4 linked regions of the Anolis sagrei genome follow. The protein of the gene in region 1 purifies or fractionates together with the protein of each later gene. This does not show direct contact. Links are inferred from orthologs where the notes say so. Each region holds a gene or a part of one and is shown on either strand. Other genes may lie near its edges.

Evidence for each region.
Region 2: the proteins of PPP1CA (region 1) and GSK3B purify together in Homo sapiens (affinity purification with mass spectrometry; 4 studies listed by BioGRID and IntAct, with this or other methods). This does not show direct contact. The link is inferred for Anolis sagrei from reciprocal best matches to the Homo sapiens genes PPP1CA and GSK3B.
Region 3: the proteins of PPP1CA (region 1) and URI1 purify together in Homo sapiens (affinity purification with mass spectrometry; 7 studies listed by BioGRID and IntAct, counting the BioPlex papers as one, with this or other methods). This does not show direct contact. The link is inferred for Anolis sagrei from reciprocal best matches to the Homo sapiens genes PPP1CA and URI1.
Region 4: the proteins of PPP1CA (region 1) and CDC5L purify together in Homo sapiens (affinity purification with mass spectrometry; 3 studies listed by BioGRID and IntAct, with this or other methods). This does not show direct contact. The link is inferred for Anolis sagrei from reciprocal best matches to the Homo sapiens genes PPP1CA and CDC5L.

What each region holds. Positions count from the first base shown.
Region 1 is NC_090021.1:232,682,559-232,689,670, forward strand, and holds the start of PPP1CA (serine/threonine-protein phosphatase PP1-alpha catalytic subunit), read left to right. Parts: upstream 1-4,095; 5' UTR 4,096-4,319; coding exon 4,320-4,374; intron 4,375-7,112. UniProt on the Homo sapiens protein: Protein phosphatase that associates with over 200 regulatory proteins to form highly specific holoenzymes which dephosphorylate hundreds of biological targets.
Region 2 is NC_090022.1:165,868,101-165,875,378, reverse strand, and holds the start of GSK3B (glycogen synthase kinase-3 beta), read right to left. Parts: upstream 3,004-7,278; 5' UTR 1,888-3,003; coding exon 1,800-1,887; intron 1-1,799. UniProt on the Homo sapiens protein: Constitutively active protein kinase that acts as a negative regulator in the hormonal control of glucose homeostasis, Wnt signaling and regulation of transcription factors and microtubules, by phosphorylating and inactivating glycogen synthase (GYS1 or GYS2), EIF2B, CTNNB1/beta-catenin, APC, AXIN1, DPYSL2/CRMP2, JUN, NFATC1/NFATC, MAPT/TAU and MACF1.
Region 3 is NC_090028.1:40,036,984-40,044,681, reverse strand, and holds the start of URI1 (unconventional prefoldin RPB5 interactor 1), read right to left. Parts: upstream 3,007-7,698; 5' UTR 2,650-3,006; coding exon 2,599-2,649; intron 1-2,598. UniProt on the Homo sapiens protein: Involved in gene transcription regulation. Acts as a transcriptional repressor in concert with the corepressor UXT to regulate androgen receptor (AR) transcription.
Region 4 is NC_090021.1:147,843,176-147,850,196, reverse strand, and holds the start of CDC5L (cell division cycle 5-like protein), read right to left. Parts: upstream 3,009-7,021; 5' UTR 2,909-3,008; coding exon 2,864-2,908; intron 1-2,863.

The sequences.
Region 1 (7,112 bases):
GAGAAGGTCTTTAACCTTCTCTGCCAAATAATGCTGGTCCCTCACCAAACAACGAATGCCAGGAATCCGTAGCATTGAGCCATGGCTATTAAAGTGGCATCAAATTGCATTCATTCTGCAGTGTATATGCACCCTTCGTTAAATAAGTCCTGAGTTTGCAGGACTTGTGCAGAGCTAATAATGACAAAGTGTCTTGAAGGGTTCTGATTTGTAGAATTGCCAGTCAAATCCAACTTAACATTTAAAAAACAAAGATGTAAAGTTAACACAGTCCTAAAGCAATTCCTGGAGCTTAATATATGAAGTCTATGGGTTGTGTCACTTCTTTTTAGCACCCCTCTTTCCTAACGTTATCATTATAAAAACCGTTATAAAGCTGGCATCTCTATTAGAAACGTGGCTTTGGTTAAGCACAAGGTCAGGTCTACCATATATCCTGCAATTGTTTTGGGTCCCAATCTTATTATCACTGACCACCAACTTGCTGGCTGGAGTTTATGGATGTTATAGTCTAAATTGTTTGGATGAAATCTCATTAGGGACAGTCATTGAAGAACTCTAATGGAAGAACTAACTCTTTCTTAAGTCATTGTCAGTTCCAAAAACAGAAGATGGATGCAACTATACCAGGCATGGACAAACTTTGGCCCTCCAGGTGTTTTGGAGTTCAACTTCTATAATTCCTAATGGCTGGTAGGCTGTTACGAATTGTAGGAGTTGAAATCCAAAACACCTGGAGGGGTGAAGTTTGCCCATGTCTGAACTATACAATCAACCTGTAGCAGGGAGAATATTCACTAGCTTTTTCGTCTCAAGTGCTATGTCTTGTGCACATCATAGCCACACACTCCTCCCATCCCAATAGTCTTTGCAATAGAAGCCCATGGAAACTGAGAGTGGTGGTGGTGGGGGGGGGGGAGCAATAGAGGCCCCCAGAGCTTGGACCACAACTTTCCAAATCTGGGAAATGTAGTCCAAAATATTAATTTCCCCAAGTTTCTCTCTTACCCATTTTGGAGGCTGCTGCCCCCAATAAAGCCAAAGCGATCTGTCTGGCGATAAGGAGGCATCCCATTCAGCTCAGAGTCAGAGCCCAGGGAGCTGGCATCGTCCCGCAGGGAGAAATCAAAAGCATCTGGTAGTCCAGCCAAAGCTTGGTTTACATTGTCCTCAGGAAGCTCTGCTGAAAGAGAGGGGTCCGACATATTCCCCTTCAAATCTTACTTGTAGACCCTACTGCTGACAGGTCCTTTATTTCATGCCACCTGCTGAGGCCTGGGCATCACCTCTGAGCCGAGCAATACCTTGCACCCATGACTATGCCCCTTGTTGCTGCTGCTGTGACTGAGTTCCCCACACGCTCTGCAAGCCATTTCCTCCCGCAACCATTTCCTGATGCAAGGGACGGTAGTAGTAAAGAAAGCAAAGGGGGTGGGGAGCATGACACAGTGGAAGAGAGCAGAAAACAACTCCCCAAAAAGAAAACACAGGATAACTACCCACAATGCTTTCCAGAAGGGGTTGCACACAAGGAGACCCCACCAGATGTTGTCTCTGAGTTCACAGGTGCTGGGGAAGAATCAACAGGTAGATGGTGTCATCTCTTCCCATCTCTTCCCATCGGCACAAGCTGCACTCTGTATCATCCTTCTGGAGCACGACCTTGGTGTAGGTATTATTTACTCATTAGATTTCTATCTAGCCCTCTGCCCTTCTTCCTTCCTTCTGTTTTGGACTATATTTTGGACTATATTTTCTTGGTAAATAGAACAAATACAACAACAAAACTGCAATCAACGACAGAAAAAGGAGACTTCATGAAACAATCAAAAACCCCATCTGAATCAGCCAGATATCCCTTTGCAAACAGATATCTTAGCACCTTTGAGACTGAAAGACAATGGAAGCATAACCTTAAAAAGCTACATCTACTACATATATTTGGGCTATGAAAGCTGATAATAACATCTTTTTCTCTCAGTCTCAAGATGCTACTATAAACCCCAGCAACTACAACGCCCAAATGACAAAATCAAATTTTTTTGGGTGAAGGACCTACATTGGGTTGTTAGGTGTCTTGTGTCCAAATGTGGTGTCAATTCGTGCAGTGGTTTTTGAGTTCTGTTAATCCCACAAACAAACATTACATTTTTATTTATATAGATTCATAACAGTAGCAAAATTAGTTATGAAGTAGCAATGAAAATAATGTTATGGTTGAGGGTCAACACAACATCAGGAAGTGTATTATGTACGCTTTGATCTTCGGGCAAGGCCAGGCCCGTATCCAGGATTTCGATTCGGGGGGGGGGGGGGAGCTGAGTTTGTTTCGGGGGGCGGGGCTGAATCTGAGTGAAAGAGGGTCTACCCTAGCAAACCTTTTGTATCGTTACCCCAATACCCCCATGTATATGGGATATATTGAGCATGATGATCAGATAATGATATGAATAAACATAACAGTTTAAATAATGCACCTTTTTGCGAACCACCATGAGAATTTCGGGGGGGGGGGGGGCTGAAGCCCCTCAAGCCCCCCCCCCCCCCCGGCTTCATGCTTGGGCAAGGCCCCCTTTTGCCCTTGCCAGTCTCTCAGACTCGCCTTGTGGGTACAAGGGAGAGAGCCTTCTCCTCTGTGGCTCTGGAATTCACTGCCCGGAGAGATTAGGAAAGCCCCTACCTTGGAAACTTTAAAAAAAGTCTTAAGATCTGGCTCTGCCGTTGCGCTTTTGAAGAGTAGCCATATAATTTTATGCTAGCGCTCCTCCAATGTTCTTATCTCAGGAGTCCCCCCCCCCCCCCCCTACGAATGTTGGCTTAATTTCCTATCTCTCTCTGAGTTCACCCTTACAATTAGTTCTGCCCCCTTATCTCACCCGGAGTTTTTAAATCATTTTATGTACATGCGACCCGCCCTTTGTTTGTCTGTCATTATGCTTAGTTCCTATGTTTTGTGTATATTGTTTTATATGCTTTGATGTTTTATATTTTACTGTTATGTTGTTTATTTGATTGCAATTTGTATTGTTATATTGTAATTTTTGTTCGGGCTGGGTCCCATGTAAGCCTCTCCGAGTCCCCTTTGGGGAGATGGTGGCGGGGTATAAATGTTTATTATTATTATCATGAGGAGACAGCAAAGCCTAGAGAAGACAATGATGCTGGGGAAAGTGGAAGGCAAAAGAAAGAGGGGCCGACCAAGGGCAAGATGGATGGATGGCATCCTTGAAGTGACTGGACTGACCTTGAAGGAGCTGGGGGTGGTGACGGCCGACAGGGAGCTCTGGCGTGGGCTGGTCCATGAGGTCACGAAGAGTCGGAGACGACTGAACGAATGAACAACAATTATTATTATTATTATTATTATTATTATTATTCGCAATAAAAATAATGTTATGGTTGAGGGTCACCACAACATCAGGAAGTGTATTGAGGGGCCAGGGCATTAGGAAGGTTGAGAACAACTTATCTACTCTGTAGAATGAACGCAGTTTGGCACCACTTTAACCGCCATGCCGCCATGCTATGGAATGGTGGGAGTTTGGTGAGGCAGAGACAGCAGAAGACCTTGCAAAACCACAACTCCTATGACTCCTATGATGGGTTTGCCTTAGGGTCCCCATCAGCTGACTCAAAGGCGCCCTGCAACAACCACATGGTTTCTGAATGACACACAGAGTGAATCATCTCTATCCAGGTTGAAAACACATTCCAAAATGGGGCTGGCAACCTTCTGGCCCAGGGCCAGGTGTGGTGCTCAGCCTGGTCCTATATTTCTTTACACCGTGTAGATCAGGCGCAGGTAAATTTTGGCCCTCCAGGTGTTTTGGACTTCAACTCCCAGCCTTCCTCACAGCCTCAGGCCCTTCCCCCCCCCCCCCCCCAGCCGCTTAAGGAAAGGGCCTGAGGCTGTGAGGAAGGCTGGGAGTTGAATTCCAAAACACCTGGAGGGCCCAGGTTTGCCTGTGTCTCTGTTTCCTTGTGTTGGGAGGAAGCGGAGAGAGAGAATGCTGGCGCAATCGCAGGAAAGCCTTGCTCCCTCCAGCCAGTAGGAGGAGGTGGTTGGCAGAGTAGGAGCAGCAGGAGCAAGAGCAGCAGCGTCACTCCTTTCCACTTCCTCCCTCCTTCTCTTCCTTCTCTTCCTTCTTCCCTCGCTTCGGCTGCGGAGGCTCTTCGGCGAGAAGGAGGCGCGGACGGAAAGCTTTGCCCTTGCCTTTTCCCCGGCCGCTCCCTCTTTCCCAGGAAACAGCAGCAAGGAAGGAAAGAAAGAAGGCAGGAAGGAAGGCTCAGTCTCAGCCCCGAGACGCTCCTCTCCCGCCATGTCGGACGGCGAGAAGCTCAACCTGGACTCCATCATCGGGCGCCTCTTGGAAGGTGAGCACTGAGCAGCCGCCTTGTCCCTCCCCCAAAGCCCCGTCTCCACTGGATATTTAATGCGGATCCAAGCTCGCTTTCCAACTGCGGCGGCCTGGGAACAAGCTCCCACCCGCGAGAGAAAGGAAGCCCTTCCTGCGCGCGCACACACACACACACCAGTCCCTTTGGGTCTGTCTGTCTGTCTGTCTCTCTCTCTCTCTCTCTCTCTCTTGTAGGAAGCCCATACTTTGGTGCGCGGTCTCTTCTTTCCATTGGGTTGTGCCTTCCTTCCTTCCTTCTTTCCTGTCTTCTTCCCCATGGCGGGCAGTCAAACTGGTTCCAGGATTTTCCTCCTATGGAGTCGTGTCTCTACACTTTCTTCCATACCGGTTTGAAACGCCACTCAAGACCTCATCACACTAGAGAATGAATCCACATTGAACCCGGTTTCTGCTTCCTGCAGAATTCTGGGGTTTGTAGTTTAGGGAGGAGCTTTTAACAGCCTCACTAAACTACAAACTCTAGAATTCTGCAGGAGCCAGAAACCGGATTTTAAGTGGATTCATTCTCAAGTGTGATAAGTGTATTTGGGGCCTCGGATTGGGGGAGTTTTCCAGGCCAAAGGGAAACGAAAAGGGCGCCTCATCCTCTTCCAAAAGAAGGAGAAAGGGAGACAGACGTTCCCCTTTGTTGCGGTGTGTCTATACTGCAGGGTTAATGCAGTTTGACCCCCCTTTAACCGCTCAAGGCTCAGTGGTTTGGAATCCTGGGAGTCCTCGCTTGGAAAAGGCCATATTTATCAGCTTCATCCGCCCCCTGAATGGGCCCCAAAAGGTGGAGGGGGGGGCACACATTCCCCTTGTTGTGGTGCCTCTACACTGCAGGGTTAACGCAGTTTGACCTCGCTTTAACCGCTCAGGGCTCAGTGGTTTGGAATCCTAGGAGTTCTCGCTTGAAAAGGCCATATTTATCAGCTTCATCCGCCCCCTGAATGGGCCCCCAAAGGTGGAGAGGCGGGGGCAGACATTCCCCTTGTTGTGGTGCCTCTACACTGCAGGGTTAACGCAATTTGATCCCGCTTTAGCCGACCAGGGCTCAGTGGTTTGGAATCTTGGGAGTCCTCGCTTGAAAAGGCCATATTTATCAGCTTCATCCGCCCCCTGAATGTGCCCCAAAAGGGGGAGAGGCGGAGGCAGACATTCTCCTTGTTGTTGTGCCTCTGCACTGCAGGGTTAACGCAGTTTGACCCCGCTTTAACCGCCCATGGCGCAATGGTTTGGAATTCTGGGAGTCGTCGCTTGCAAAAGGCCTTTCTCAGCTTCCTCTGCCAAGGAGTGCCTCGCGGCACGACCAGTCCTAGGATTCCAGAGCCACTGCAGTTAAAAGTGGGATCAAACTGGATTCATTCTACAATGTAGATCGATGCATCCATTTTGGGGGGAGGGCGAGGAGAGTTTTGAGTATGGGTGAAGCTTCCTTTAAGACTCCCACCTTTAGGCACAGAAAGCAGAGGCGGTTTGGGGGGATTTGGGCGTGGAGGCGGCCCTCTTCATCGCTTAGGGAAACATCATGGCTCTGGGGAAGAAGGGGCTGCTGCGTATTACGCATCTATGGGAATGGGTGCATCTACACAGAGGAGTGCATGCGGTGTGGCCCCAGCTTAACCAATGCTTTGGAGTGTTAAGGAGTCGCAGTTTGGCGAGGCGGCAGTCGCCCTCTTTGGCAGAGAAGCCCAAAGGCCTGGTGAGATCCCCAGGGTCCCCAAGCCTTAAGGCGAGCCGGAAGTGGGCGGGTACACTCCCTCTGTCCTCCAGCCAGGGGCCCCTTTAAGGGGGCTGCCCCTAGCCAAAGCGCCCCCCCCCCCGGACAAGTTTGCACTCCAGGAGGGCTTCACAGGAAGAATGGAAGAGAGGAGGGCGACTAAAGTGATCAAGGGTCTGGAGAACAAACCCTATGAAGAGCGGCTTAAAGAGCTGGGCATGTTTAGCTTGCAGAAGAGAAGCCTGATAGGAGATATGATGAGAGCCATGGATAAATTTGTGAGGCGAAGTCATAGGGAGGAGGGAGCAAGCTTGTTTTCTGCTTCCTTGGAGACTAGGACGCGGAACAATGGCTTCAAACTACAGGAAAGGAGATTCCACCTGAACATTAGGAAGAACTTCCTGACTGTGAGAGCCGTTCAGCAGTGGAACTCTCTGCCGCAGAGTGTGGTGAAGGCTCCATTTTCGGAGGCTTTTAAACAGAGGGTGGATGGCCATCTGTCGGGGGTGTTTTGAATGCAATTTTCCTGCTTCTTGGCAGGGGGTTGGACTGGGTGGCCCATGAGGTTTCTTCCAACTCTATGATTCTATGAAAAGAAAGTAAGATAGCCTTCTGTGCCATAGAGTAGCTGCCTATAATATTCAGGTGTTCTTTAAACTTAACTAAAATTGCCATTAATAATAGGAAGTTGCTTCAAAAAATATAGTTAACATGGTAACTAGTTAACATCTAAAGTTAATTAATTAATTAATTGATTGACTTAATTTATTTTATGGTGCTTTCTGAGCCATCCAGTTCATGCTTCTTCTGCCTGCAGGAAAAAAAAACACAATCAAAACACTCCTGACAGATGGCCATCCACCCAATGCTGAAAAACCCCTAGAGAAGGAAACTCCGCCACACCCTCAGGTTGCAGCATATTCCACTATTACCGCCAGGAAGCTCTTCCTGATGTTTATTTAGGTGGAATACCTTTTCCTGCAATTTGAATCCAT
Region 2 (7,278 bases), on another chromosome or scaffold:
TGGACAGTAGGCATAAATAGTGCTTTGGATATGGATGCCAAATGTGCCAAATGTCAAAATGCCAAATTGTGCCAAATGTAAGCCGTTCTGAGTCCCCCTTCGGGGGTTGAGAAGGATGGGGTAGAAATGCTCGAAATAAATAAATAATACTGAATTTGTGGCAGAGACACTTGGTACTTCAAAGAAATGGGGAGGAGACTGACACCTGGCTGACAGGTAATGCTTAGCTTGGAGGATGACACATTCTGCAGGCTTCTTGCCATCCAGTCCGATCCAATCTTTAATTCAGGCTGAACATATCTGAGAAATAAATGGGTTGAAATGCTGCCACGTTTCCAACTGGCAGCAACAATCCTTAAAAGAAACCTATATCGAGCTGTGACTCCATTGGAGGGGATTTTAAGCAAATATCTCTGTGACAGGGTTGTTGTAGGTTTTTTCGGGCTATATGGCCATGTTCTAGAGGCATTCTCTCCTGACGTTTCGCCTGCATCTATGGCAAGCATCCTCAGAGATAGTGAGGTCAGTTTCACAGAAGGTTTTTAACCAAAATGTAAAGATTTGTACAATCGACCACACTTTGGGTACAGATTATTTTTCCTATAGGGGACCGCCTTTTCCTATAGGGACCGCCTTAGGCCAATAGAAACAACACAGATACATTATTATTATTATTAGGTTCTTGTGGGTTTTTCGGGCTATATGGCCATGTTCTAGAGGCATTTTCTCCTGACGTTTCGCCTGCATCTATGGCAAGCATCCTCAGAGGTAGTGAGGTCTGTTGGAGTTAGGAAAAGTATTATTATTATTATTATAAATTATAATAAATGACTTTCTCTGTACCGCCCATCTCCCAATGTATGCATAATGGGATAGCCCATTAAAACCTCCTCAACAGCATGCATAACTAAGTCAGTAATTTTCCACATCTCGGTAAGCAGGCAGGTACCTCTCTCTCTCTCTGGAATGAAATGAGCCCACAGGCCGCGCCTCAGAAAGGCGACTGATTCCGTCAAGCTGAGGCCACCATCCATTAGTGCAGTGGTTCTCAACCTGGGGTCCCCAGATGTTTTTGGCCTACAATTCCCAGAAATCCTAACAGCTGGTAAACTGGCTGGGGTTACTGGGAATTGTAGGCCAAACACATCTGGGGACCCAAGGTTGAGAACCACTGCATTAGTGGTTATCAACCTGGGGTCCCCAGATGTTTTTGGCCTACAATTCCCAGAAATCCTAACAGCTGGTAAACTGGCTGGGATTACTGGGAATTGTAGGCCAAACACATTTGGGGACCCCAGGTTGAGAACCACGCATTAGTGGTTCTCAACTTGGGGTCCCCAGATGTTTTTGGCCTTCAGCTCCCAGAAATCCTAACAGCTGGTAGACTGGCTGGGATTTCTGGGAGTTGGAGACCAAACAAATCTGGGGACCCAAGGTTGAGAACCACTGCATTAGAGGTTATCAACCTGGGGTCCCCAGATGTTTTTGGCCTACAATTCCTTGAAATCCTAACAACTGGCTGGGATTTCTGGGAGTTGGAGGGCAAAAACATCTGGGGACCCAAGGTTGAGAAGCACTGAAGGATTTCCCTGACTCACTGCTTCTGAAATGGGGCCGTGAACGGGCGGGGAAATGGCAGGCCAGAGAAAGAGAGAGAGCCAAAGGCAGGCAGGCCGGCATCTGACGGCCACGTCCTCAAGGGGCTGATTGTGAATCAAAGAGGGGAGGGGGGCGAGGGAGAGGCAAGGAAGGAAGGAAGGAAGGAAGGCCTCCCCCTTCCGAGGCCTGTGTGTACTCACGGCTGACTTTCATGCTGCCGAAGGCGGAGGGCTGCTGCACGGGCTTGCAGCTCTCGGCGAAGGAGGTGGTCCTGGGCCGGCCCGACATGGTGGCTGCCTTCCCTCCGCTCCCGGCCTCCTGCCCTTCCTCCTCCTCTTCCTGCTGCTGCGCTCCTTGCCGGGCCCTCAGGTGGCGAGCGAGGAAGGCGGGCAGGGCATGCAGAGCCGGGGCCCGCCCTTCCCCCGCTCTCGAAGAGGAAGGAAGGGATGGAAGGGAGGAAAGGGGCACGCCTCGTTCTCTCTCTCAGGCCTCACCGGGGGCCCGCCATCCTCCTCCTTGGAAAGAGCGGAAGCGGCGTCGAGAAGGCCTTCCTTCCCCGGCAGCCAGTCACAGGAGGAAGAGAGAGAGAAAATGAGAGAGAGTGGGCCCTTCTTCCTTCCCTCAGCGTGGAGGCAGGGACTATTTCTCCCGGCGGAAGAGCACTAGCGCCTCAATTAAAGGGCGGGGGGGAGCTGTGGTGGGAGGAAGGGAAGGAAGGAAGGAGAGAGAGAGAGAGAGCAGGAAGCGGCTGGGGAGGCGAAAGGGCGCGGGGCGGCGGCCTGGCAGCGGGCGGCTCCTCCCTCCTCAGGCCTGGCTCCCTTTCTTCCTGGTGCTGGCGGTGCTGCTGCTGTTGCTGCTGCGGCGGCGGCTCATGGCGTCCCCGCGGCGGGCGAGGAGGGGCGGCTGAGGCGGAGGGCGCTGCAGTGCGGCTGGAGGACAACGAGAGCGGCGGGGCCGGCCATGGCGGCGGGGCGCGAGTCTCCTCCTCCTCCTCCTCTTTCCCTCCCTCTCTTCCCCTCCTCCTCTTCCCCTCACTCCCTCTCTCTCTCTCTCTCTCTCCTGCTGCTGCTTCTGTGGGCGGCGTCAGGGGCTCCTCCCTCTCTCCCTCCCGCCTGCCCGCGCGCGGCCCCGCCTCTCCGCCCGAGTTCCTTTGTCCGCTGCGGCGTGGTGGTGGTGGTGGAAGCAGAGGGGCCGTTGCGGTCTTGCGCGCGCTCCCTCGCGAAAAGGAGGCGCAAGGTGGCGCGAGGATAGAGCAGCCTTCCGCCAGGCCTTCAGGGAGCGCTGCGGCCCTCGCTCGCGCTCTCTCTCTCTTTCAAGCCAAGGCTTACGCAATCTCGCTAAGCGCCCTCCGTGAACGCCAAGCCGAACACCCGAGCCTGGCCGAACCCGAGTGCGATCGGCGGCCCAATCAGAAAGGTTTCTTCTGCGCAGGGCCCGCCCCCCTTCCCCCCCCCCCCCCGGCACGGCGTTTGCAGCCAATCATAGGAGGGGAAAAAAACCCGAACCGTCCACCCCTTCCCTTCCGGCATCCAATAGGAAGGCTCTGTCCCTAAATTGTCTCTAGGAAGGAACAATGGGGCGACCCGACGTTTCCCACGATGGAAGGACAGGGCCGAAGAAGAGCTGAGGCAAAGGAGGCGGGGCTTGGACCCAGGAAGAGCCGCCCTCCTCCGCCCCATGTCGCCAGCCAGGCTCAGCGGAGAAGGGAAAAGAAGGAGTCAGCTTGATGCGGGCATGGTTCCGGGCGGAGGCAGGGAGGGAGGGGGGTGGTGAAGAGAAGCGCCACTTCTGATTGGCTCCTCGTTGCCAATGCTCCGCGGCGTGAGGGGAGCCCTCCTCAGAGGCGCAGGTGCCTCCAGGCTGCCCCTCCCCCCCCCCCCGCGGGTCGCGCGCCTCGCCTCTGAGGGAGGCAGGGAGGGGCGCCTCGCGCGCCCGCCCGCCTTCCTGCGGAGGGGAAGCAGTGGGAGCCCGGCCCGTGAGGATGGGCTGCCCCTGGTTTATTGTTATCTCAGGGCCCATTGGGTCAAGTGGCCTGAACCCAGTGGCAAAGGGGCCGGCCCTTTGAGTTACCCTGGTTGAACTGAAATGGGGACTGGCTGAGGCCTTGGCTCCTGGCAAAGCCCGGCCCCGCCCAGCCCCGCCCCGCCCATGAGGGACAAGGCAGGCCTCTGCTTGGCTAGGCCTGGTAGCCCTGAATGCAGTTGGCTCTGAGGACGCAGATGTCATATGCTGGTTCTTAACAGTCAGGCCTGTAACTGGGGGAGGGGGGGGGGAGGTGTTAGGGATTCAACCCCCCCCCCCCCCCCAAATTTCAGGTATTTATTTGTCGTGTCAGAGCAACCAGTCATAGAATCAAAGAGTTGGAAGAGACCTCATGGGCCATCCAGTCCAACCCCCTGCCAAGAAGCAGGAATATTGCATTCAAATCACCCCTGAAAGATGGCCATCCAGCCTCTGCTTAAAAGCTTCCAAAGAAGGAGCCTCCACCACACTCCGGGGCAGAGAGTTCCACTGCTGAACGGCTCTCACAGTCAGGAAGTTCTTCCTAATGTTCAGATGGAATCTCCTCTCTTGTAGTTTGGGTTGGGCTTTATTTCCTGAAGTATGGACTGGTTGGATCTTCTCACTGTCCAAGGCACTCTCAGAACTTTCCTCCAGCACCAGAGTTCAAAAGCATCTATCTTCCTTCGCTCAGCCTTCCCTGTGGTCCAGCTCTCACATCCATAGGTTACTATGGGGAATACCATTGCTTTAACTATGCGGATCTTGGTTGCCAGTGTGATGTCTCTACTTTTCACTATCATATCGAGATTGGACATTGCTCTCCTCCCAAGAAGTAAGCGTCTCCTGATTTTCTGGCTACAGTCTGCATCTGCAGTAATCTTTGCTCCTAGAACTACAAAGTCTGTCACTGCCTCTACATTTCCCCCGTCAATTTCCCAGTTGTCAATCATTCTTGTTGCCATAATCTTTGTTTTTTTATGTTTAACTGCAACCCAGTTTTTGCGCTTTCTTCTTTCACCTTGATTAGAAGGCTCCCCAGCTCCTCCTCGCTTTCGGCCATCAAAGTGGTATCATCTGCATATCTAAAGTTGTTAATGTTTCTTCCAGAAATTTTTACCCCAGCCTTGCATTTGTCAAGCCCTCTCACAGTCAGGAAGTTCTTCCTCATGTTCAGATGGAATCTCCTCTCTTGTAGTTTGAAGCCATTGTTCCGCGTCCTAGTCTCCAAGGAAGCAGAAAACAAGCTTGCTCCCTCCTCCCTGTGGCTTCCTCTCACATATTTATACATGGTTATCATATCTCCTCTCAGCCTTCTCTTCTTCAGGCTAAACATGCCCAGTTCCCTAAGCCGCTCCTCATAGGGCTTGTTCTCTAGACCCTTGATCATTTTAGTCGCCCTCCTCTGGACACATTCCAGCTTGTCAATATCTCTCTTGAATTGTGGTGCCCAGAATTGGACACAATATTCCAGATGTGGTCTAACCAAAGCAGAATAGAGGGGTAGCATTACAGTCCATTATATATTACATTTCTAACAGAACAGAACTTCTTGGGAGGAGAGCAATGTCCAGTCTCGATAAAATAGTGAAGAGTAGAGACATCAGACTGGCAACAAAGATCCGCCTGGTCAAAGCCATGGTATTCCCTGTAGTCACCTACAGATGTGAGAGCTGGACCTTAGGGAAGGCTGAGCAAAGGAAGATCAATGCTTTTGAGCTGTGGTGTTGGAGGAAAGTGCTGAGAGTGCCTTGGACTGCGAGAAGATCCAACCAGTCCATCCTCCAGGAAATAAAGCCCGGCTGCTCACTGGAAGGAAGGGTACTAGAGACAAAGTTGAAGTACTTTGGCCACATCATGAGGAGACAGCAAAGCCTGGAGAAGACAATTATGCTAGGGAAAGTGGAAGGCAAAAGGAAGAGGGGCCGACCAAGGGCAAGATGGATGGACGGCATCCTTGAAGTGACTGGACTGACCTTGAAGGAGCTGGGGGTGGTGACGGCCGACAGGGAGCTCTGGCGTGGGCTGGTCCATGAGGTCACGAAGAGTCGGAGACGACTGAACGAATGAACAACAACAACAGAACAAAGCAAACAGACAGAAAAATACACATCTTGTGAGTTTGGTAGTTGGTTAAATGTCCTTTGACCAGTATCTGGCCACTTGGAGTGCTTCCAGTGTTGCTGCAAGAAGGTCCTCCATTGTGCATGTAGCAGGGCTCAGGTTGCATTGCAGCAGGTGGTCTGTGGTTTGCTCTTCTCCACACTCGCATGCCGAGGATTCCACTTTGTAGCCCCATTTCTGAAGGTTGGCGCTGCATCTCGTGGTGCCAGAGCGCAGTCTGTTCAGCGCCTTCCAAGTCGCCCAGTCTTCTGTGTGCCCAGGAGGGAGTCTCTCATTGGGTATCACCCATGGATTGAGGTGCTGGGTTTGGGCCTGCCACTTTTGGACTCGCGCTTGCTGAGGTGTTCCAGCGAGTGTCTCTGTAGATCTTAGAAAACTATGTCTAGATTTAAGTCGTTGGCGTGCTGGCTGATACCCAAACAAGGGATAAGCTGGAGATGTCTCTGCCTTGGTCCTTTCACTATTGGCTGCTACTTCCCGGCAGATGTCAGGTGGTGCAATACTGGCTAAGCTATGTAATTTCTCCAGTGGTGTAGGGCGCAGACACCCCGTGATAATGCGACATGTCTCATTAAGAGCCACATCCACTGTTTTAGTGTGGTGAGATGTGTTCCACACTGGGCATGCGTACTCAGCAGCAGAGTAGCACAGCGCAAGGGCACATGTCTTCACTGTATCTGGTTGTGATCCCCAGGTTGTGCCAGTCAGCTTTCGTATGATATTGTTTCTAGCATCCACTTTTTGCTTGAAATTTCAGGTTAAAAAAAACCTGGTTTACTCATGAATGTTAACTGGTTAACCAAATCCCCATGCTAAGTCTATGAGATGGGAAAAAAATCAAGAGTCCCTCCAGATTGGATTACTGTAATGCGCTCTACGTGGGGCTGCCCTTGAAAACCGCCCGGAAATTTCAACTGGTCCAACGGGCTGCGGCCAGGTTGTTAACTGGTGCTCCTTACAGAGAGAGGTCAACCCTCCTGTTTAAGGAGCTCCATTGGCTGGCTGCCGTTCATTTTCCGGACCCAATTCAAGGTGCAGGTGCTTACCTACAAAGCCCTAAATGGTTTGGGACCCGCCTACCTGCGTGACCACATCTCCGTTTATGAACCCACACGATCTCTCCGATCATCTGGTGAGGCCCTGCTCACAATCCCACCTGCGTCGCAAGCGCAATTGGTGGGGACGAGGGACAGGGCCTTCCCCGTGGTGGCCCCCCGACTCTGGAACTCTCTCCCTAAGGATATCAGACAAGCCCCAACATTGGCAGTCTTTAGGAAGAGCTTGAAGATGTGGTTGTTCCAGTGTGCCTTCCCAGAATAGCATCATGTCCCAAATGCACTTTACTAGAGATTTAAGATTGTCTGCACACCGCACCTATCTCCAAAAACCAATCCATCTCACCTGTCATGTTCAGAATTTTAAAATTTTAATCATTACATTTGGCCCGGCCTTAGTTTTTAAATGTGTCATGGTGTTAATGTCTAATGTTTATTGCTATTGTTTTAATGTTTATTGCTTGTTTTATGAGTTTATTTATTGTTGTATTTGTTATGC
Region 3 (7,698 bases), on another chromosome or scaffold:
AGGATTTTATCATTTTATCTTGTGCATTTGGCCCGCCCATTGTGTTTGATTTTCCATTATGTTATTTGGCTTCATTTATTTTATTGTGCTACTGTATGTATTTTATTCTGATGTAATTTTTGTTGTTTTGTATTTTATTTTGCTGTATTGTATCTTTGGGCTTGGCCTCATGTCAGCCGCCCCGGGTCCCTTCCGGGGAGATGGTGGCAGGGTATAAATAATGTATTATTATTATTATTATTAGAAGCACAACAAGATGAGTCCACAACAAACAAGCTCACTCTGCTGGCTGTTGTATAGAATCACAAGTCGAACACTCCGCAAGTGTCTAGGACTGTGTGATGTATCGGCGAATAATGTGTGCAGATCCCAGTATGGTGGTCTTATGCAGCTGTTGGTAATATTATTATTATTATTAGCTCCTATTATGATTATTAGCTCCTCCCTTACATATATACCTTTTTCCACTCTTATCTCATCCAGTGTTTTATCATTTTATGTCTTACATTTGGCCCGCCTATTGTGTTTGATTTTTCATCTTCTTATTTTGCACTGTTTTATTTTACTCTTATGTTTTACTTATTTTATTGTGATGATATTTTTGTTTTGTATTCATTTTGCTGTTATGTATTATCGGGCTTGGCCTCATGGAAGCTGCCCCAAGTCCCCTTTGGGGGAGATGGTGGCGGGGTATAAATAAAATTTACTATTATTATTATTATTATTATTATTATTATTTTAAGCTATATAAATAAAAATGTAATGTTAGTTTGTGGGATTAACATAACTCAGAAACCACTGGACGACTTGACACAAAATTTTGACAAAATATACCTAACAGTCCAACGAGTGTTCATCACCCCTAAAAACACCCCCTTCCCAGTAGAATGGACTTAAACCCCCCAAAATACACCATATATACATACAATCCTATACGCATACACACATACATACACACACGTGTATATTTGTGTGTGTGTATATATATATATATATATATATATACACCCAAGCACACACAAATATACACACACATACATATACATACACACACATATATATATACATATACACATGTATGCACATACATACACGCATAAATACACACAATTATGCATATAGACAAGCACACACATATACACAGTATACATATACACATATAAACACACAAATATATACACATAGATACACATCTACATATGCACACACGCACACACATATATATACACTAGCCATCCCCTGCCAGGCGTTGCTGTAGCCCAGTCTGTGTATATGTGTGTGTATATGTGTATAAATGTGGTTTTGTGCATGCGCTGGTATGCATTTTCTTTAATTTTTAGCATTTTGAGTCTATTCCCCTGTGTTTTTCAGTGTTTTTATGAGTGATGGTCACTTGTTGGCCTGAGAGGTGTTTTGTGTCCAAATTTGGTGTCAATTCGTCCAGTGGTTTTTGAGTTATGTTAATCCCATAAATGAACATTGCATTTTTATTTATATAGATAGTGCAATGAAACATGTCCTCCTCCTCGTCCTCTTATTTAGGGAGGGGGGCTGCTGTGACGTCGCTAGGGAGTTCCACAACCGAGGGGCCACCACTGAGAAGGCCCTGCCTCTCCTCCCTGCCTTTTTTCTGCTCCTTCTCCTCCTCGATCTCTTCAATAGGGAGGGGGCTGCTATGACGTCGCTAGGGAGGGAGTTCCACAACCGAGGAGCCAACACAAAGAAGGCCCTGCCTCTCCTCCCTGCCTTTTCCCCGCTCCTTCTCCTCCTCGTCCTCTTAATTAGGGAGGGGGCTGCTGTGACGTCGCTAGGGAGGGAGTTCCACAACCGAGGAGCCAACACAAAGAAGGCCCTGCCTCTCCTCCCTGCCTTTTCCCCGCTCTTTCTCCTCCTCGAGTTCCACAACCGAGGGGCCACCACTGAGAAGGCCCTGCCTCTCCTCCCTGCCTTTTTCCCGCTCCTCCTTCTCCTCGTCCTCTTAATTAGGGAGGGGGCTGCTGTGACGTCGCTAGGAAGGGGAGTTCCACAACTGAGGGGCCACCACAGAGAAGGCCCTGCCTCTTCTCCCTGCATTTTTCCCGCTCCTTCTCCTCCTCCTTTTTCCTGAAGGCTAATTAGGGAGGGGGGCCTGCTGTGACGTTGCTAGGAAGGGGAGTTCCACAACCGAGGGGCCACCACTGAGAAGGCCCTACCTTTCCTCCCTTCCTTTTTCCCGCTCCTTCTCCTCCTCGTCCTCTTAATTTGGGAGGGGCCTTCTGTGACGTCGCTAGGGAGGGAGTTACACAACCGAGGAGCCAACACAAAGAAGGCCCTGCCTCTCCTCCCTGCCTTTTCCCCGCTCCATCTCCTCCTCGTCCTCTTAATTAGGGAGGGGGCTGCTGTGACGTCGCTAGGGAGGGGAGTTCCACAACCAAGGGGCCACCACAGAGAAGGCCCTGCCTCTCCTCCCTGCCTTTTTCCTGCTCCTTCTCCTCCTCTTAATTAGGGAGGGGGGCTGCTGTGATGTCGCTAGGGAGGGGAGTTCCACAAGCGAGGGGCCACCACTGACAAGGTCCTGCCTCTCCTCGCTGCCTTTTTCCCGCTCCTTCTCCTCTTTACCTGGCCGTGCTGCTCCCTCACGCGGCCCCACTGATTCCCGGGGCCCTCCATGGCCTCCTCCTCCTCCTCCTTCTCCCTCTGAAGAGGAGGGAGGCCTGTCTCTGGGGCTCCTTTGGGCCCTTTTTCCCGCAGTTGTCCTCGGCTTCTCTCCACTCCAAGGGGCTCCTCTTCTGTCTCTGTCTCCTCTTCAGCAAGGCGCCTGAGTCCTATAGAAGTGTTTGTGGAGGGCCAAGCGCCGGCTCCGGAGCTTCATGGAGGGCGCCGAGGGGGCCCAGCCGAGAGCCGCCGCCGGTGGAAGACGCATCTCACACTCGCATCCCGAGCCAGGCCTCGCCGACGCCGCGCTCAGGAAATGCCGAGGCTTCTCTTCGTCCTTCTCCTCCTAGGCCCAGCCAGGCGCCGCGCTGCCTTCTGGGAGGAAGAGCGGGGAGACAGGCACGCCCCCTTCTTCCCCGCCTCCTCCTCCTCCTTATTCTGCCTACAACCCCCATGAGCCTCAGCCGCGTCGTTCCAGCACTAGGGCTTCTGGGAGATGAAGTCCAAAACACAAGGACGCCATTTTGGCGCCTCCTCAGGCCTCAAAAGGCCTCCAACTCCCACAATTCCTACCAGTTGAAAGGAAATATTACAGCAGGCCTTCCTTTCAAACGGGTGTTTTGGACTCAACTCATAGAACCCTAGAGTTGGAAGAGACCTCAGGGAAGAGGCCATCCAGTCCAACCCCATTCTGCCAAGAAGAAGGAAAATTACATTCAAATCGCCCCTGACAGATGGCCATCCAACCTCTGCTTAACAGCCTCCAAAGAAGGAGCCTCCACCACACTCCCCATTTGGCCAAGAAGCAGGAAATCGCATTCAAATCCCCCCTGACAGATGGCCATCCAGCCTCTGCTTAACAGCCTCCAAAGAAGGAGCCTCCACCACACTCTGAGGCAGAGAGTTCCACTTCTGAACAGCTCTCGCAGTCAGTTAGAATCATAGAATTGGAAGACACCTGGTGGGCCATCCAGTTCAACCCCATTCTGCCAAGAAGAAGGAAAATCGCATTCAAATCCCCCCTGACAGATGGCCATTCAGCCTCTGCTTAACAGCTCCAAAGAAGGCTCCTCCACCACACTGAGGCAGAGAGTTCCACTGCTGAACAGCTCTCACAGTCAGTTAGAATCATAGAATTGGAAGAGACTTCGTGGGCGATCAAGTCCAACCTCATTTGGCCAAGAAGCAGGAAAATCGCATTCAAACCACACCCGACAGATGGCCATCTAGCCTCTGTTTAAAAGCCTCCAAAAAAGGAGCCTCCACCACACTCCGGGGCAGAGAGTTCCACTGTTGAACAGCTCTCACAGTCAGGAAGTTCTTCCTCATGTTCAGATGGAATCTCCTTTCTTGTAGTTTGAAGCCATTGCTCCAGTTGTAAAAGACCTCGTGAGCCATCCAGTCCAACCCCATTCTGCCAAGAAGCAGGAAACTCTCATTCAAAGCACCCCTGACAGATGGCCATCCAGCCTCTGCTTAAAAGCCTCCAAAGAAGGAGCTTCCACCACACTCCGGGGCAGAGAGTTCCACTGCTGAACAGCTCTAACAGTCAGGAAGTTCTTCCTCATGTTCAGATGGAATCTCCTTTCTTGTAGTTGGAAGCCATTGCTCCAGTTGGAAAAGACCTCGTGGGCCATCCAGTCCAACCCCATTTGGCCAAGAAGCAGGAAAATCGCATTCAAAGCACCCCCGACAGATGGCCGTCCAGCCTCTGTTTAAAAGCCTCCAAAGAAGGAGCCGCCACCACACTCCAGGACGGAGAGTTCCACAGCTGAACAGCTCTCACAGTCCAGAAGTTAGAATCCTAGAGTTGGAAGGGACCTCGTGAGCCATCCAGTCCAACCCCATTCTGCCAAGAAGGAGGGAAATTGCATTCAAACCACCCCCGACAGATGGCCATCCAGCCTCTGTTTCAAAGCCTCCAAAGAAGGAGCCTCCACCACACTCCGGGGCAGAGTTCCACTGCTGAACAGCTATCACAGTCAGGAAGTTACCCATTGAAATGAAATATTAAAGCAGGCCTTCCTTTAAAGCAGGGGTGGGCAAATTTGGCTCTTCTCTCCAGATGTTTTGGACTTCAACTCATAGAATCCTAGAGTTGGAAGACATTTCGTGGGCCATCCAGTCCAACCCCATTCAGCCAAGAATCAGGAAAATCGCATTCAAAGCATCCCCGACAGATGGCCAACGATAGAATTGGGCCAAATTTCCCACACAGAACCCCCATGTCTTGAAGGGACTTGCTGGTGCGAGCCTGCCTTCCAGCCTCACGTGCTCTCCCTCGCCTACACATGTTTACTATGGTGCTATGTGCCGAGCACACCTGCTCTCTTCTCCCTGCTCAGAGTTTCAGAAACAGCCCTCCCCTTGGCTGAGAGGCCAGCTGATGGGAGGATTCACGGTCTGTTTCCAAAAAGGAAGAGAAGGGCAAGTGGAGAGATCTTCAGCCTCCTCTGCCAAAGGGGTTCCTAAGACCATCAGAAGTATATGTTTTCTGATGGCCTTTGGCTACCCCTCTGAAACCCCCTTGTGACCTCCAGGTTGAGAAATACTGCTCTAATTCATGGTGCAGAGAACTAAAATTGAGGTGGTTTCAAAGGGGAGGCGGAAAATCCCAGGATCTCCCCGTCTCTGGAAGTACAAATGCCTCTTTCATAACACCCCAAATTTGCAGCCTGAATTGTAATAGCAAAGCATTGAGAGTTATTATGCCAGGAGCCTTGTGTCCTGTAAACTTCTTTCTAAAATATATACAAGATCAGTCGTCATTATATAACTTTAGGTGAAAGCAACTAGAAAGTGCACTTTGAAATCAACATTTCCTATGGCTTCCCAAAACCTCAAATCTAGTCGGAATTTAATGTTGATTTTCCTCAAGTGCTTGCGGTCCTTCAGTTGAGGAACGGGAATAACCCCAGTGAAATCAGACATGTTATATTCATCTACACATTCATCCTTCTATCAAGTTTGGCATCTTTTTCATAATGGATTATGAGTCGTGGGAGTGGAACGGAGGTACGTCTTGTATCAGATTTCCCAGCCTTGTTTACTCCCATTAACCTGCAGGCTCTCTCATTATTTCTACGTTTATTTAACAGATTTTGTAAAACAAAAATGGCTTTTTGTGGGCTAACAATCACATGTTCTGATTTATTTATTTTTTATTTGATTGGGCTTGATTTATGTCATTTCTTTCTCCCAAAACTGAGACACAAAAAATACAAATGTAAAGAAAAACACAGAATGTAATAATACTGAATACAACCTTCCCTCCTTCCCTTTTATTCTTTCCTTCTCTCCTTTCTTCCTTCTCTTCCCTTCCTTTCCCTCCCTTTTCTTTTCCTTCCCCTTTCTCCCCTTTCTTCCTTTTCTACCTATTCCTGGACTGCAACTCCCAGCAGTCCTCCTGATCCATCTACCTACCTACCTACTTACCTACCTACCTACTTATCTCTATCTAATCCAGCGTTTCTCAACCTGGGGGTCAGGACCCTTGGGTGGGTCGCGAGGGGGCGTCAGAGGGGTCGCCAAAGACCACCAGGAAAACACAGTATTTTCTGTTGGTCATGGGAGTTCTCTGTGGGAAGTTTGGCCCAATTCTGTCGTTGGTGGGGTTCAGAACGCTCTTTGATTGTAGGTGAACTATAAATCCCAGCAATGACAACTCCCAAATGTCAAGATCTATTTTCCACAAACTCCACCAGGGTTCACATTTGGGCATATTGAGTATTTGTGCCAAGTTTGGTCCAGATCCATCATTGTTTGAGTCTCCAGTGCTCTCTGGGTGTAGGTGAACTACAACTCCAAAACACAAGGTCAACGTCCACCAAACCCTTCCAGTATTTTCTGTTGGTCATGGGAGTTCTGTGTGCCAAGTTTGGTTCAATGCCATTGTTGGTAGAATTCAGAATGCTCTTTGATTGTAGATGAACTATAAATTCCAGCAACTACAACTCTCAAATAACAAAACCAATCCCTCCCCAACCCCACCAGCATTCAAATTTGGGCATATTGGGTATTTGTGCCAAATTTGGTCTAGTGAATAAAATACATCCTGCATATGTGATATTTACATTACGATTCATAACAGTAGCAAAATCACATTTATGAAGTAGCAACAAAAATAATTTTATGGCTGGGGGTCACCACAACATGAGGAACTATATTAAAGGGTCATGGCATTAGGAAGGTTGAGAACCTTTCCTATCTATCTGGAGGATTGCTGGGAGTTGCAGTCCAGGAATAGGAAATTGGAAATATGCAAGGATTGGGATGCTCTCAAAGAAATCCAAGAAGCAAGCTTACATCTAGGAAGCAGTGCATTTGGATCATCCTCCTCTCCTAAAGGGCCTGGTCTAGGTGATACTGGGAGCTGTAGTATGGAAGAGAGTGTGGATATACTATTGTGTGTTTTGTTTGCCAAGGGAGTTGTTTTTGCACATGCACTGTAGCATCTTTTTGCTTTTTTGGCTCTTTAAGTCCCTTCTGCTGTGTTTTTCAGTGTTTTTATGAGCAATGCTCACTCATTGGCCTCACTCATTCATCCAGTGGTTTTTGAGTTATGTTAATCCTACAAACTAACTGTATTTTTATTTATATAGATTACACTAGTTAAAAACAACATTACAATGGGTGTTCTGGAACAGCTGTTCCAGGAGCTCCAATTTTATTTGCTTTGAATTAAATGTTTGTTTGCAATCCCAGGCTTGGGATTTTGCAGCAGGGTGGCTTCCTGTTATAGTTTGCAGTCATAGGGCAAGCCCCCTGTCCATCTTCATTTAGCTTTGGTTCCGCCCCTTTTTCTGGATTTTTGGGAAGAGAGAGGAACCATTTTAGTCAGTCCACACAGAGAAGCCTTTCACACAGGACATAAAACCAAGAGCTCCTGTAGAAAGCTTAGTCTTCTACGGCTTGGCCGGGGAGATATACAGCCTACAGCTTGGCCGGGGTTATACAGCCCCACAGCTTGGCCGAGGATCATACAGCCTTACAGCTCCTCTGCTGAGGGACTTCAGCCAGCCATCACAGCAACCTGAACTCCTTCTTTTCTCCTGGAAGTCTACA
Region 4 (7,021 bases), about 85 Mb from region 1:
TGTATGTCTAATTGTAGTGTATAATTGTAATTGTTTGTATTGGCATTGAATTTTTGCCATTATTTATGTCTAAACCGCTTTGAGTCCCCCTCGGAATGAGAAAAGCGGTATACAAATACTGAAAATAAATAAATAATAAATTAAGTACTAATTAATTAAGAGTAACACAATTTTATTTATTTATTTAATTAATTTACTGGGTTTTTATACCGTCTTTCTCAGCCAAGGGCAAGTCAAGACGGTTCACAATCGGCAGCAACTCGATACCATAATAACAGGATATACAGTTAAAAACAATTATTTAAAAAGTTATAAAACAGTTCAACATTAAAAATATAAAAACCATAATATTTATAAAAATAAGTCCTCAACATCTCCTTACTGAAATCGTGATCCAATTGCATCATCAGACATTCCATGATACATTTTCATCTAATCATGCTCCAGTAGTAAAAGCCTGCTCGAACAGCCAGGTCTTAACCATTTTGCAGAATATTAGAAGGGAGCTGATCTTATATCTCTGGGGAGGACGTTCCATAGCCGAGGGGCTACCACTGAGAAGGTCATGTCTCTTGTCTCCGCCAAACACGTCTGTGATAAAGGCAGGATCAAGAGCAGGGCCTCCCCAGATGATCTTAAAGTCAACGTGCTTCAAACACATCTAAACCTCAAACCAAACATTTGCAGGTGTTTTACAGATCATATCATTAAACAATTCCTGTAGAAAATGGGACCTGTGGATTTCTCAAAGGTCTGTTATGTTTAGAGATTATTGTTAATGTTGCATTATTTTATTGTCCATGTTTTGTTTTATTTTAATTGCTTGTATTGTTATTATTGCTTGTATTGTTGTATTTGGGCTCGGCCTCATGTAAGCCGCACCAAGTCCCTTGGGGAGATGGTAGCGGGGTACAAATAAAGTGTTGTTATTATTATTTAGAGATGCTCTAAAGTTAAAAGTGAGAATAAGGTGACCAAATTTGCAGATAACACTCAAGATTCAATGCGGTCTCTATTTCCCCAAATCTATTTATATAATAAAAGTGTATGTATATGTATGTGGGTGGGTCTGTATGTTTGTGGCAAACTTCCAATTGGCTCCCACTTCCAGAGACCACTGCAATCCCACCAATGACAGATCTGGACCAAACTTGACACACAGAACTCTGGTGACCAACAGAACATACTGGAGGGATTTGGGGGGACTGACCCATCCAGGTGGGAGTTGTAGTTCACCTTGCATCCTGAAAGCACTCTGAATTGCACTGATGATGGATCTGGAACAAACTTGGCACACAGACCCAAAACAGCCAACTTTGAATACTGGCAAGGTTTGTGGCTTAATGACCTTGGAATCCGAGAATTATAGTTCACCCACATCCAGTGAAAACCATATCCAGATGGATGATGGATCTGGACCAAACTTGGCATGCAGACCCACCGTGGTCAATTCTGAACACTGGCGAGGGTTGGGGGTGATTGACCTATAATAATAAATAATAATAAAAATTTATTTATACCTTGCTACCATCTCCCCAAGGGACTCAGTGCGGCTTACATGAGGCCAAGCCATTACATCAATAAACAAAGGCAATAACAAAACAATCAATACAAAAACAGTTAATATAAATCTCATAAACAAAAAATAAACAACAACACACAAGCATTTAAAAACTTATGGCTGGGGCAAACGTAATAACTTAATTTTTAAAAAAATAATGCTATGATTTTTGGAACTGTAGTTCACCCATATCTTGATGCATTTTCTAAAAAAAGGAAAGACGGTCTTTTCTCCCAATAAATAGCGTTGCAAATGACCAAACTGATATTACCTCACAATCAAAAAAAAAAAAAAGCCTTTTTCCTGACTGCATTTCTGTATAAGAATTCACACGATCTCTTCATTCATCTGGTGAGGCCCTGCTCATGATCCCACCTGTTTCACAGGAGCGATTGGTGGGGAAGAGGGACGGGGCCTTCTCGGTGGTGGCCCCACGACTCTGGAACTCCCTCCCCAGGGACATCAGGCAGGCCCCAACATTGGCAGTCTTTAGAAGGAGCTTGAAAACGTGGATGTTCCAGTGTGCCTTCCCAGAATAAGGAATCCTAGCAATATGTCCTCAATGCACTTTATGAGAGATCCAGAACTGCCTGCACGTCCACCTTTCCAAAAACATTCCTCCTATCCCCTTTAAACTTCCCAGCTTTTAACTATTAAAACTTTCACATTTGGCCCTGCCTTATGTTTTAAAATGTGTTGTGTCATTATTGTATTGTTTTGCTTTTTTGAGTTATTTATCGTTTGCTGTTGTTGTTTTTTATGATGTTGTTGGGCTTGGCCTCTTGTAAGCCACACCGAGTCCTGCGGGAGATGGCAGCGGGGTATAAAAACAATAAATAATAATAATAATAAAATAATAACACGGGCATTGCTGAGTACCCAAACTAGCAGGAAATAAAGCTGCAAATGACAGAATCGTAAATTGGAAGAGACCCCAGGGGCCTTCTAATCCACCCTCATTCTGCCATGCAGGAGAAGCACAATCAAAGCAGCCCCGGCAGATGGCCATCCAGCCTGTTTCTATGCTTCCAAGACACTCAGACGCAGAGAGTTCCACTGCTGAACAGATATTACAGTCAAGAAGTTCTTCCTAATGCTGAGGAGGGACCCCCTTTTCTGTACTCCCCCCCCCTTGCAGCCTCAACTGGGTTTCTTTTGAGGAGGGTGAAGACTGAGGCTTATGAGGTGCCTCTGAAGGGTCTTGGCCTAGCGCGGCAAAGAGCCTGTTTTGGGCGCAGCCGTGTGAGAGAACCCTCCCCCGGGAGGAGAACGCCGTGGCGGGTTCGAGACTGCTTTCCCTACCTCGGTGTTGCGCCACACGCCCCCTTTGATCATAATCCGCGGCATCTTGGCGGCGAGAGAGGGCGAGAACGCAGCTGAGGCGACGGGCAAACGGCTGCGAGGCAAGAAGTCAGGCCTCAGGCTGCGCGCGCAGTCCCCTCCGTCACCGGAAGCCGACGGAAGAGAACGTTGCCGCGCGGGGAAGGGAGGGGGCGCCGTTTCCCCTGCGCATGCGCACTTGGATCTCCCTCCTTGTCCCCTTTCAAAGTGCTTTTGCTCGTCACAGAAGAAAGATTGTCTTTAATCCGGACTGTCCTTCTCGTGTTTCCCCTTCCACACAGCTCAATACAATCCCACATTTTCTGCTTTGAACAGTGGCAGTGTAGACTCAGCTAATCCAGTTCAAAGCAGATACTGTGGGATTTTATGCCTTGATATTCAGGGATATAGGGCAGTGTGGAAGGGCACCTTATGGTTAAGAATTTTTATTTATTTATCGTGTTAGGACCAGCCACTGTGTATCATGTTATGACCAGCCACCGCCAGAAGGGACAGAGTTTCATCTATGCTGATGATCGTGCCATTACTGCTCAAGCAGGGAGCTTTGAGATGGTTGAACAGAAGCTCTCTGAAGCTCTAGGTGCCCTTACCGCCTATTACAGGGAAAACCAGCTGATCCCTAACCCATCCAAAACACAGACATGTGCCTTTCATCTCAAGAACAGAGAAGCATCCCGAGCTCTGAAGATCACCTGGGAAGGAATCCCACTGGAGCATTGCAGCACACCCAAATACCTGGGAGTCACTCTGGACCGTGCTCTTACCTACAAGAAGCACTGCCTGGATATCAAGCAAAAAGTGGGCGCTAGAAACAATATCATACGAACGCTGACTGGCACAACCTGGGGATCACAACCAGATACAGTGAAGACATCTGCCCTTGTGCTATGCTACTCTGCTGCTGAGTATGCATGCCCAGTGTGGAACACATCTCACCACATTAAAACAGTGGATGTGGCTCTTAATGAGACATGCCGACATGCCGCATTATCGCGGCATTATCACAACTTAAATCTAGACATAGTTTTCTAAGATCTACAGAGACACTCGCTGGAACACCTCAGCAAGCGAGAGCTCGAAAGTGGCAGGCTCAAACCCAGAACCTCAACCAATGGATGTTACCAAATGAGAGACTCCCCCCCCCCCTGGGCACACAGAGGACTGGGTGACTTGGAAGGCGCTGAACAGACTGCGCTCTGGCACCACGAGATGCAGAGCCAACCTCAAGAAATGGGGCCACAAAATGGAATCCTCGACATGCGAGTGTGGAGAAGAGCAAATCACTGACCACCTGCTGCAATGCAACCTGAGCCCTGCTACAAGCACAATGGAGGAGCTTTTTGCAGCAACACCAGAGGCACTCCAAGTGGCCAGATACTGGTCAAAGGACATTTAATCAACTATCAAACTCGCAAATTTTGTATTTTGTCTGTTTGTTTGTTTGTTTTGTTCTGTTAGAAATGTAATACAATTGACTGGTTACCCTGACACGACAAATAAATAAATCGTGTTAGGAGCAGACCAAACAGCTGGATTGCATTTTTTAACAAACAGACAAACAAACAAAACACAAAGTTTGCAAACTTGATAGTTGATTAAATGTCCTTTGACCAGTATCTGGCCACTTGGAGTTCCTCTGGTGTTGCTGCAAGAAGGTCCTCCATGGTGCATGTAGCAGGGCTCAGGATGCATTGCAGCAGGTGGTCTGTGGTTTGCTCCTCTCCACACTCGCATGTCGTGGATTCCACTTTGTAGCCCCATTTCTTGAGGTTGGCTCTGCATCCCGTGGTGCCAGAGCGCAGTCTGTTCAGTGCCTTCCAAGTCGCCCAGGGGGGGAGTCTCTCATTTGGTATCAGCCACTGATTGAGGTTCTGGGTTTGAGCCTGCCACTTTTGGACTCCCGCTTGCTGAGGTGTTCCAGCAAGTGTGTCTGTAGATCTTAGAAAACTGTTTCTTGATTTAAGTCATTGACGTGCTGGCTGATATGCAAACGGGATGAGCTGGAGATGTCACTGCCTTGGTCCTTTCACTATTGTTTGCTACTTCCTGGCGGATGTCAGGATGTCAGGTGGTAAACAGTGTAATTTCTCCAGTGGTGTAGGGTTAAGATGCCACACTGCCACATCCCACACAAAGCAACTCACTCCCAAATGTGATGCTCCTCATGCCCTTTGGAGACCTGAAGTAATATTAAGAGTTTGGAAATATTAAACACAAGCCGTCCCCTGCCCCGCATTGCTGTGGCCTAGTCTGGTGATCTGGAAAATAAAGTAATGAGAAAGTGTTGGTTTCTAATATCTAATTTCTTTATGCTTGTGGGTAAACAGTATTTCTTGCTGTTTCTTTGTCAGTGTTGATGTGGAGATTGTCTGGTTTGCCTACTCTGGAATATGCAACATATCATTGTCCTTCTTTAGGGGTTCCTTTTAAATCTATGATACTATATCTGTGTGTGTGTGTGTGTGTGAATCATATCTATCTATCAATATCTATGGCTGGGTGGCACTTTGATTACGTTTTCTTGCCCTGGTGAAGGGAGTTGGACTGGATGGCCTTAAGTATTTTCTGTTGGTCATGGGGGTTCTGTGTAGGAAGTTTGCCCTAATTCTGTCATTGGTGGGGTTGAGAATGCTCTTTGATTGTAGGTGAACTATAAATCCCAGCAGCTACAACTCCCAAATGGCAAGGTTTATTTTCCCCAAACTCCATCTGCGTTCATATTTGGGCATATGGAATATTCATGCCAAGTTTGGTCCAGACCCATCATTGCTTGAGTCCACCGTTCTCTCTGGATGTTGGTGAACAACATCTCGCAAAGTCAAGGTCAGTGCCCACCAAACCCTTCTAGGGTTTTCTGTTGGTCATGGGAGTCCTGTGTGCCACGTTGGGTTAAATTCCATCATTGGTGGAGTTCAGAATGCTCTTTGATTGTAAGTGAACTATAAATCCCAGTAGCGACAACTCCCAAATGGCAATGTTAATTTCCCCCAAATTCCATCTGTGTTCATATTTGGGCATATGGAATATTCATGCCAAGTTTGGTCCAGATCCATCATTGTTTCAGTCCACAGTGCGCTCTGGATATTGGTGAACTACAACTCCCAAACTCAAGGTCAATGCCCACCAAACCCTTCTAGTGTTTTGTGTTGATCATGGGAGTCCTATGTACTATGTTCGGTTCAATTCCATCATTGGTGGAGTTCAGCATGCTCTTTGATTGTAGGTGAACTATAATTCCCAGCAACTACAACTCCCAAATGATAAAATCAATTTTTTGAGTGAAGGACATACATTGGGTTGTTAGGTGTCTTGTGTCCAAATTTGGTGCCAATTCCCCCAGTGGTTTTTGAGTTATGTTAATCCCACAAACGGACATTACATTTTTATTTATATAGATGAAGTCATCCTTTGAAAACTTCCCTAAGGGCTCTATATCCCAGAACATCAAGGCAGAAAATCCCACTTTATCCAAGTGTGAACTCAGATATCCCAATTTCAAAGCAGATATTGTGGAGTTTTCTGCTTTAATATTCTGGGATAAAGAGCTGTGTGGAAGTGAAGGGACATAGATGCAGGGACACTCCAAATGCACAAGCTTATGAGTCCACTCATTGGCCCAATGTAGCCATAAGTTGGATTCTTACTACAAAAGCTTTATTGCGGGCCTAGCAATATCGACAAAGAAGCATACAGGAATGCAATCAAAGGGTTTGTCGCAATTCCATTGGGACTGCAGGGTTTTTATCATTTTTGGCACGTACATTCTCATTGGTTCCCAAAGACAAATAATTTCATTGGTCTAAGATAGCTCGATGGTTCCTCATTGGTGGTTTATGATTTTGATTGACATAATAGCACACGTGGGATCCTAACAATGCCACAACTATAGAAGAACTATAGTCCATTGTTCTCTGACCATGACTGTCTTAATGAATCAATTTATCTGTTAGTCGGTTGCCAACATGACTCCAGAGCTACTGGGAAACTTGGGAGTTCTAACTAGCCACCAGCTAGTTGGAACGGATGTACTGTTATCCTTGAATAGTAACTTCTTCTCTGGAGCACTGATTTCTCAATCAGCATTTTTTGTAAACATAGGCATACTGCAGAAATAGGGCA